Caenorhabditis elegans: one gene and its partner. The protein of the gene in region 2 interacts with the protein of the main gene of each other region in a pairwise test. Each region holds a gene or a part of one and is shown on either strand. Other genes may lie near its edges.

Region 1 (7,373 bases), 8.1 Mb from region 2:
GGGGGAGGGGCGGGAATATGGGCGGTGCTTGTGTTTCCAATTACAAACATGGAAGAAATGATAAGGAACGAAAAAGTGGGTGTCCCCCTGATGCAAATGTATAAAAGAGTTATCATCATTCAAATTTCAGTCCACATTTCATTCCTGAAAAATGACAACAATGACTAATTCTCTTATTTCTAATTCAGTTTCCTCTGTTCCTGAATCTCTATTCTCATCAGCTTCAATTCATCGTCCAGTTGCTATTAATCCAGCAATGCTTGCTCAATTCAGCATCAATCTGCCTGTTTTGCCATTTGAAAGTTCTGCTTCTTTGGGAACATCTACCACATCCAGCTCGGTAAGCATATCATATTTTCTCAAAATCTTGTAATATTATTTGTATTTTCAGAGATGCTCTTCAACTGAAAGTTCTGCTGCTCCTGGTAAAATCCGTCGTGGTCGACCACAACAAGAAATTGCAGATGGACAAGATGCTCACAGTCAAAAGAAGCGTCATCGCCGTCTTTATGCTCGCCAGTACCGTGCTCAAATGCGCCAAAAGGTGGAGAATGTGAAAAGTCTTCATGATGAGAAGGAGCAACTCGAGTTGGAAGTAAAAGCTCTCCGGCAAGCAGTTAGTGGTCTTCAACAAGAAAATGCTCAAAAAGATTTCTTGATCAGTATTTTGCAACTCAATAATCAAATCAACCATTCCTAAGAACATCTTCAATATTCCCCTCTCCCGAATCCTCTTTGCCATAATTTTTCAAATTCGCTCATTCTTTGCTGACATAATTTGGTCTTCTTTCGAAATGTTATTAATAAAAATTGACACGGTTTTGATTCATCTTTGTGCAAACATCCAACTACAGAAGAGTTACAGAGATTCTTTCCAAAAAAGAAGTTGAGAAAAAATAACAGAAAACAAATAAAAAATATATTAAAATTAGTCGCGTCGAGACCTCTTTGATTCTCCACGGGAGTCTCCACCATCCCCACCTCGTTTCTTTTCTTTGGTGTGCTCGAAAAGTGATGACAATCCGAAAACATCTTGATCCTTCTCGAACTGAAATAAAAAGGTTAACATTTTGTAGTGATTCATAAATGCACAGTGACATTTAATGTTTTATGACTCATTGATAAGTAAATTTTAGAAGTAGTCACAGTCATTTTAAGAGCATCTTTTATGCAATTTCCTTATGAAATCTTTAGAAATTAGGTTTCAAAAAAATAATTCAGTAAATACATATATTTCTGAATACTACGGGTCCACACACTCAATTTCGCAGATGGAATTTTCTAAATTTCAATAACGTTCGATTCACAGTTAAACTCAATGCGTATAAACTATTTCGTTGGAATCAAATGCACTTTGACCAGATTATAGCATTTTCTACGCGTTCTGCAACAATTCGATCGTCACACGCAAACATGCCAAATCGGCCGCCATCGTGTCTGTCCTGTAATTCTAGACGATTCCGCATCGTCATCATTTTCTTGATAAGTTTATAATAAACTTTGTAAGAAATTTCGAAACTATGCCATGCACAATCACGATTCGGAAATATTGTCATGAAATATACTAGAATTATCATTGTCATTCTTAAAATGGCATGAAAATCGTATTTTCTGTCATCATCATCATCTAATGTTTTGCCCTTTGAACGCTGCTTGAACCAATTTATAAATCGACACGGATGATCGTTGGCTTATCCGCTTACTGCTTATCACTCAGTTTAGATGTTAGTCTACAATTAACACCATTTCGCCGAAAAAGTTTACCCAGCTCCCCGAGTTCGCTGCAAACAATTCCGGAAAAAAAATACGTTTCCTGTTCAAATCTAAACTATGAACATGGTTTAAACATTTGAAAAATTGGTGTTTTCAATATAGTAAATGCCAAATTTTTCAAAAATTTCAATTTTTTGATAAATTTCGATTATTTCTACAGGTTCGATCCCTAGAATTTCCAAATACGAATAAATACTATAAAAACTGGGAGGACAACTGTTTATTTCGTCCACTTTCATAATAAGCGAAAACTAAAACTAAGATTTTTTTGTTAAAAAATGCAATACGTATTTTTAACTACAATGCCACTTTGAGAGTGAAATTTTGATTTGAGCTGTTTCATTTACACGTATATTCGGAGCAAAAAGTTATCATTTCCTAAAAATAGACCGAAATATAGTCAACACCGCTCTAGTTCTGTCTAGTATTTCAGTCATTTCAACTTTTAGAGTAAATCACATGTTGGTTCTAATGCTTCTGGCTTGTTGGTGATAAGACGTGATATTTCGTAAGTACTGATAGTGATTGGGTTATGAAAGATGCTCGCAAACACCAGCCTCCGTAGACACAACTCGATAAAATGCTGATCGTTCAGCTCGAAATGTGACTAGAAACAGTAAAGTAATTTAATACATTTTATGTGTTAAACTGAAGAGAATCTGCATCCCGAACTTAAGTAAAAAGAAAAGCTAATCGGCTATGATAGAAAAGATATAATTAGTTTTTGTTCAATAAGCTCTGAGCATTGTATAAAACTACAATATTGATGAATCCATAATTATTTATTATAACTCTAATTAGAATATCTAAAATTGGTTAACTTTTACAATCAAATTAATCGTGAGTTAAAATACATCAATAGTTCATTTCGACCATAAAGAGAATGGATGAAAACTGAACTTTGACATATTTTAATTATTTTAATCTTATTTTATCAATAATGTCAAACATATTACGCACGACAATTGAAGCTCATAAACCAAGAATGTAAAGAATCTTTTCTACTTCCAAAACACACTGCTGTGCGTGTCTTTTCGGAATGACGTAAATTAATGATCCATTTATGATAATGACCGCACAAATCAACGAATTGGTTCAATTCGTCGTTACTTATCAGTCAATTTTTGACGCTCATCAACAACGAGCCAGCGCCCAAATTCTCAAAATTCCCAGCTATTTTAGTAACGTAGTTAAAATTTCTGACAACAGATCAACTGACTAACCTGAACAGGTCCAGATCCACGACTCGAGCCCTCTGCTCCTGAAAATCCTTTATCAGCTACAAACCGATTCTTCTGTTCGATGATCTTGTCCAAATCGCCACCATAAACATCGTTGTCGAGATTTTTGCCTGCAAAAGTTTTATAAATCGTCATTTCTTCCTGTTTTGACAAAAATACAATTATTTTCGAAATTCGTATTTGCATAACGTCATTTTAATCGTAATGACTGCAGTACTACAAACGTCTTATCAAATACTAGGCACCTAAGTTGTGATTCTATTTTTAACGACAAATGAACCAGAACGGACATGAAAGTCAAATACATCAGTATCATCAAAGAGTTTTGTGAATTCCAACACCAATGAATTAGAAAAACAATAAATTTTAGAATGTCACAAATTCCTCAGTTCAGACATACATTAGGAAATCATTTCAATTTTGAAATATTAAAGAACTAACGGTTCTAGTTATTTTTGAACGTTTAGATTTTTATGGCGGTTCGAAATTTAGAAAAAATGAATCAATTTTGGCGAATTTTTCGTGTCGCAGAGGTTCAAAAATGATTTTTTTTGAATTATAATCTTTTTTTAAATTTTAATATCACGTAATATCGTCAATTGAGGTACTTTTTAAGCAAACATAGGTAATCAATTTCGGTAACCTTTCGATTTTAAATGTACCTTAGAATAGCATAAGATAAACTGCCAAAATAAGATTTCAGCTAAAATAATGTTTTTTTTTGAAATTTTAAAACGCCATAAAACTTTTTTTTTGAAAAACTTCTGGAACGTTTCATTATGAAATTCGTTCATTTTAGAGCATTGTGGGTATATATATATATATACATTCAAAATACCTAGACCCGTTACTAATTTTAATTTATATTTGAAAATAAGCAAGAAAAACTAACTCGGTCGATAAACGTGCTGTTGAACACTGTCACCGCCACGCCACGCAGCATCATAAGGATTGTAAGTATCATCGTCCATTGCTCCACTGTCGAGTCCCTGAAAAATAAATATATTAGTTAAATTTTATCGAAGAAGGAACTGAAACCTGGGTTTTATCAAACAATCTTTGATCGAACTGTGGTTCGCCAGTTCGTTTCTGATTCGTGTCCGGCAAACCAAGCACAATTTTCTCCGAAATATCTCTTTCACGCTCTTTGCGAAGCTTGTCAGCTTTATCTGGTCGTGAACGAGCAATATTTCTTTCTTTCCTGATATCGTCGAGACGATCACGTCGAATTTCTTCGCGAACTTTGACTTGTTCATCATCTTCATCGTCCTTTCTCCGCATCGCTGATCTTTCCTGGCGGGCTTTTGCTGCGGCTTCTGCCATTTTAGCCTCTTGCTCAGACTTCTTATTTTGAGCAACGCGTCTTTCAAGCTGAGCACGTGTCTCAACCTCTTCACGAGCTTTTCTATCAGCAATGTACAAAGCATCAGCAAGCTTCGCAAAGTTTTCATTAATATGAGTCTGTTGGAGACCACGTCCATCAGCAGCCAATCGTTTGTCCAACCCAACTGTGAATCCTTTTGGATTTTTCCAATTTGAAATACATGGTGGAATCTTCCAATCGTTTTGATCTTTAGCTGTCATTTTTCTTGGAGGAGAATGCATGACTGGTGCCGGTGGAGATGGTGGTGCTCTAGGAATCTTCTGATTGATTTTGAACTTTGGTGGTTCCATCGGATCTTTTTGTTCTTCAACCATTCTGATGATGCGCTGTTGTGATCCAGCAGCTCCATTCTGCTGACTTGGAGTGTATCTGATATATTGAGCAGGTGCTAACTTGTCGGCATGACGAACAGGAAGTGCTGAGGCTACTTTTGAATTTACGATTTTTTCCAAAGCCATTCTTGTCTTCTCCGTAGCATCGATAACAGCGTCATCGTCTGGTTTCTGAATATCATCATCATCCTCGTTCCACGTCTTGGCTTTCATATCATTAAGCTTGGAGTAGACAACTTTATCCTTAACATGTCCGATACGAGCAATAGCATCGTGTTGTAACTTTCCATCAGTTCCATATTGCAAGGCGAGCGTATTTTCTGGCTTTCCTCTCATATCTCCAAGACCTAATCCGAGAGGAAACTGAGCAACGTGAATTTCAGGGAACGCTCCGCCATCGCCAAAATCCTGGAAAAGAAAAATTAAGAAGAATATTAATATTTTCAATCTCACTTCAGGCCCTCTTGGTCGAAAACTGGTCCGTTTTCCGTACGGCGGTGGTTCCTTCGATACGAGTGCGGCGGATGGTTCGTTATCGCGCCCACCAAACCAAGGATCTCGTCGAATCTGTGAAGCTGCTTCGTCTGCCGCCACAGGAGCAGGAAGGATACTAAAAAACATTGGTTTTACATGATAATCAGTGAAATACACTCACTCTCGTAGTTTCATCGACATCCTGATGAAATACTGTCCTGAAATTGTTTTTTTAGACAAAAAAAGAATCAAATACAAAACTGGAAGATATTGTAGTGCCGATGAAACACAAGTTATAATTTCAAAACAAAAACATTGAATGAATAATAAAATAATGAATTAAGTGTTTATTGAACAGTGATTAAATCGAGTATATGAGATCAAATCAATAATTGGATAAGTTGCAGTAAGTGATGTAGAAAAATTATTTGCCGCGGCGGCTGTTAGATTTTGTTGTCGATGCTGTGTTCGGTACTTTTTTCAGCTGATCGAAGAGAGCATCAGAAGAAGAATGATTAGACAAATTATTTATCATCATCTCATGCTCAAAGAGTTTAGTCATAATCATGGCGGTTTGTGAGAGACGAACGGTATCGTTAATAGTTAATTCCGAGTCATCGAGCTTTCCAATCCGTACAAACTCGCACGGTTCATCACGTTTCGTGTGCTCGTACCACGGATCGTCTTCTGGGTCAAAATCAAGTTCCTTGTTGCAAAATGCACATTTGCCAGACTGAGGACCGGTGCAGTAAAATCCGGCTTGAGCAACCTAAAACAAGAATAATTTTATTTAAAACACGAAAATGGACAAACCGCTTGAGACGTGCATTTTGCATCCGGGTCTCTATCATATTCGAAATTTTTGAATGTCATCAAGCGATCTTTGTAGAATGTGAATTTTGCCATATCCGACTTTTTTTTGGTCCCGGGTGCCATTTTCTGAAATCAATGAAAAACAACTAGGTATCTTAATCTTGAGGAATCTATTTCGAACAGGTAGAGATTAAAAATTCGAAATACAGTTAAGAAGATTTGAACTAAAAACCACAATTCCAAAAAAATAAGTTGAAAGCGTTGAAATCGATTGATAAAAGGAAAAGATAAAACGAGACTTACATTGAAAATAATAAAACTTCGTGGCGTATTTTAATAGATTTCGAAAATGAAGTTTAATTTCATGAAATTCGCGCATCCACGCCACGTGGTTTTATTTTTTCAGTGTGTATTTAAATATAAATGAAAAACAAATCTCAGAAAACATTTATCGAATAAAATGTTGAAAAATCAATAAATGTAGCTCGCGTCGCACTGACGAATTTCGCGCTGAAATATACAGCCACCAAGAAAGCTAGGCCACGGCCATTGGTCAGTAGAGCGCACGTGCGCGCGTACCAAAACCTCCAAGAAGACAGGAAACTCAATGAGTTTGTTGAAAACTAAACAAATTAACAATAACTTTGATTCAATGGAAAAAGATTCTATTAACTTTTTAACCGGACGGTGTCGATCGAGCCTGCGGCTCAACCTCTCTCAACTGGCTAAAACTGAAATTTACCGTATTTCCTCTATTAAATAGTTAGGCACCTCTATTAGTTTTGCACCTCCATTAGTTTTGCATCTAAAATCACTAATCGAAAATTAGTTTTGCACGCTCTATTAGTTTTGCACCTCTAATAGTTTTGCACCCCTCCATTTGTTCCCTATTTTTAGGAATTTAAAATTTGCATTATAAAATCGTTCTAAAAATTAGGAAAACTCTTACAGACTTGGTATAACAAGTCAAAATTGGCAAAATATGAGTACAATTCGGACAATTTTTGCGTATCAGTCGTAAAATTCGTCCATTTTGGTTCATAAGTTGTTATTGAAATTGATGATATTATGTCATAACTTAATGGAAAACATGAGAAAAAACCTGTTCGAAAATTAGTTTAGCACCTTCTATTAGTTTTGCATCAAATTAGGTGTCCGAAAATTAGTTTTGCATGCCTTACTAATAGAGGAAATACGGTAAATAATATTATTTATGATTACTAATTAATGAGTAATCTCAAAAATAATCGAAAATCAATTTTTAACTTGAACAGTTTAGATTCTTCTACAGATTTACACTTGATTATTTTTGAATATCTCGTTCCTACATGAAGAGTTATCAAATTAATAAATTTT
Region 2 (3,075 bases):
GATAAAACTGTGCGGCGGAGTTGCGAAATCGCGCGCCGCGGATTGCGCTCGCGACTCCGCCCTTTTTTCCTGTGCCGTTTTCTTTAAAAACTAACATTTAAGGTGACAGGCCGAGAGATTTTCTTCCCCCAACCATCAAACGAGAAGCGAGAAATGTGCATTAGCAGGATCTGTGGAGCTCGGAGAAGTGTGGGCTTCACTGGCGCGTCGGATTTCTTTTTGCACCTGAAAATTGGGGAATTTTGATTGGAAAATGAGTTCGAAAATCCAGTACTTTGAGCAATTATAGCCGAATATCTTGGATTCCGTGAACAGAGCCTGCATGAGTTCTTTAATGGAGTGGCTTTTGCCTGATGGATCCTTTCTAAGCATCCGAACCGTCATAACGGTGTTGTGCTCATAGTAGACGTGCTTGTTCTTGCACCCGGGGCATTGAACTGGAAATTAAAATTATTTTCTTTAAAAAAAAAATCAATAAAGTGCTTCAAAAACCTTCATTTCTTATGGAATATCCGAACAAATCATCGGCCACTTTGCGGCCTTTCAGACGAGGATTGCTCTGCACCGATATCTTATCGAGCTTCCCCAGAATCGCCAGGAGAGCATCATGAGCGTCTTCCTGGCGGCCTTGATTGAATTTTCGATCTTTTTTGAATGCTTCACGGAACCAATTGATAGTTCCAGCATGGCCATGGCTTTGAAGGAAGTTTTTCTTCCAGTTGCAGCAGAGACAAGCTGAAAATTAGCATAATTGCGAGAATATTTCATAGAAAAATCATAAATCAAACCTGTATCTTGGCATTGATGATCCTGAAGGATCCTTACAATTGCCGGAACATGCGATAATAATTGAACACACGAGATCGCATAGCAATAAATCGACGGATTCTGGATTCCCTTTTCCGGATAATTCTCTCTCAATTCTGACCAATTCCAAGCGTAGAGACTGCTGACGAGTTCATGATTATCCAAAATCTCGTTTCCCCGGTCTGAAAGCGTTCGTGGGCGATTTGCTCGATTTGCTGCAAAAAACAAAATTAATCAGATTATTCGCAAATTTTCCAAAGCTTACATGGTGAATCAGGCGTTTTTCTATTAACTTCAATTTCAGGAGCTCGGGGTGCAGGACGATTTTGTGAGGAGGATGATGGAATAGTATCGAAATTAATCCATCTGTTCGTTTTGAACGAATCCCAACCCTCATTTACTGTCATTCTGTAACAAAAAACGTTGAAAAAAAATTAGAAATTCAATTCAAAAGAAGAAATTTCAAGAAAATATAGAAAAAATCAAGAAAATTCAAGGAAAACTTCAAAAAAAAAGAGCGAAAATCGGAAAAAAGCTGAATTAAATAATTAAATTCGAAAATTAAAGGCACACACCATTTTCGGGACCACGATATCTCGGCACGAAAACAAAACCGTACCCTCGAATCCTAAATCGGGCCGAAAATCATTTTAATTCGAGGTTTTTTTTTCTGATTTTTCGAGTTTTCCTCACAAAATGAGAGTGGTTTGTCGTTGTTTCGCCGTCTCTGTCACCCGTTTGTGCTGTTCTATCGCTTGCCCGTTTTCTCTGCCGTCTCTTCAGCGCATGCCGGTGTGTGTGTGTGTGTGTGCGCGTCGCTCCTCCCATTTTCGTTGTTTTAGGCCTAAAATTTGAATATCTTTCTAGGATCTCAAGATGCTAATTTTTTATCGGCATTTTTGAACTTGTGTCTATGCGTTTCTCTCTACTTGTTCTCGCTTGTCACAGTTTTCAAATTTTATGTATTTATGCTTTTTTTCAGGTAATCATGACGGACGTCGAAAAACAGACGGAAATTCGCGAGAAGAAGGGCCGCAATGTGATGCGCGAGCTCAAGATCCAAAAGCTCTGTCTCAACATTTGTGTTGGAGAGTCTGGAGATCGTCTCACCCGTGCCGCTAAGGTATTCCAATATATTCTACAGTAATTCGTAAATTTTCGAAATATTTTCAGGTGCTCGAGCAGCTCACCGGACAAACCCCAGTGTTCTCCAAGGCCCGATACACCGTCAGAACTTTCGGAATTCGCAGAAACGAAAAGATTGCTGTTCATTGCACCGTTCGTGGACCAAAGGCTGAGGAAATCCTCGAGAAGGGACTCAAGGTCAAGGAATACGAGCTTTTCAAAGAGAACTTCTCTGACACTGGAAACTTCGGTTTCGGAGTTCAGGTTAGCTTAAAGTTGAAGTGTTCAAAAGTGATGATTATTTTGTTTCCAGGAGCACATTGATCTCGGAATCAAGTACGACCCAGGAATTGGAATCTACGGAATGGACTTCTACGTCGTTCTGAACCGCAACGGAGTTCGAGTTTCCAAGCGCAGACGTGCACCAGGACGCATTGGACCATCCCACCGTGTCGATAAGGAGGAGACAATCAAATGGTTCCAGCAAAAGTACGATGGAATCATTCTGCCACCAAAGCCAAAGGTCAAGAAGAACTTCTTCCGTCGTCGTTAAGTTTTTCTATTTTCTGAATAAACTGTTGTTATTAAAAATGAAATTGCTAATGTTTTGTTAAAGTTGTGAATCATAGTCTGATTGTCGTGGATCTGAACTTCAACTTCCTGGAATCAATAATTTTACGTTGCGAATGGTCTTCTGATGTAGAAAGTTCAGGATATTTATCCAGGAATTTTGAAAACTCATCGAAAAGGAGTTTGGTATTTTGCTAACGAGCTGGTCGTAGAGGTATCGAAACTTCTTTGAAGATCCTTCAGACAGCCATAATTTTTAATTAAATTTCAGCATTTGCAGATTCGAGTCAAAATTAAAAAAAAAAAGTTGATATTTTCAGTCAATTTATCATAAATATGCAGGGCAGACGTGCAAATAGACAATCTCAAAGTATGGCAACACATTCGGGGGAAGTACGATTATTGGACTGGGGGCAGAGAGGACAAAATCAATTTGATCTTGAAGATTCACAAGAATTATCGGGGGAGGGAAAGGCTTCTATAAAAATGCTATAAACTAAATGGGACGGAGAGGAGGGGAAGTTATGGCGATAATTAATTACAATGTTAGTGCATAGAAGAATTATTCGCTCT

The links.
Region 1: the proteins of rpl-11.1 (region 2) and skp-1 interact in a two-hybrid assay, tested with the Caenorhabditis elegans proteins (one study listed by BioGRID).

The regions. Positions count from the first base shown.
Region 1 is NC_003283.11:11,643,530-11,650,902, reverse strand, and holds skp-1 (mammalian SKIP (Ski interacting protein) homolog), read right to left. Parts: upstream 5,423-7,373; 5' UTR 5,406-5,422; coding exon 5,386-5,405; intron 5,341-5,385; coding exon 5,184-5,340; intron 5,139-5,183; coding exon 4,053-5,138; intron 4,004-4,052; coding exon 3,907-4,003; intron 3,125-3,906; coding exon 2,997-3,124; intron 1,049-2,996; coding exon 929-1,048; 3' UTR 813-928; downstream 1-812. Other genes in the region: Transcription factor zip-10, read left to right, coding at 152-340, 392-700; Chromosomal passenger complex protein bir-1, read right to left, coding at 5,629-5,973, 6,018-6,140.
Region 2 is NC_003283.11:3,584,779-3,587,853, reverse strand, and holds rpl-11.1 (Large ribosomal subunit protein uL5A), read left to right. Parts: upstream 1-1,789; 5' UTR 1,790-1,795; coding exon 1,796-1,930; intron 1,931-1,980; coding exon 1,981-2,196; intron 2,197-2,245; coding exon 2,246-2,485; 3' UTR 2,486-2,521; downstream 2,522-3,075. Other genes in the region: T22F3.2 (Ubiquitin carboxyl-terminal hydrolase 36), read right to left, coding at 96-225, 275-437, 493-735, 789-1,022, 1,073-1,214; pygl-1 (Alpha-1,4 glucan phosphorylase), read right to left, coding at 3,065-3,075. UniProt on the Caenorhabditis elegans protein: Component of the ribosome, a large ribonucleoprotein complex responsible for the synthesis of proteins in the cell.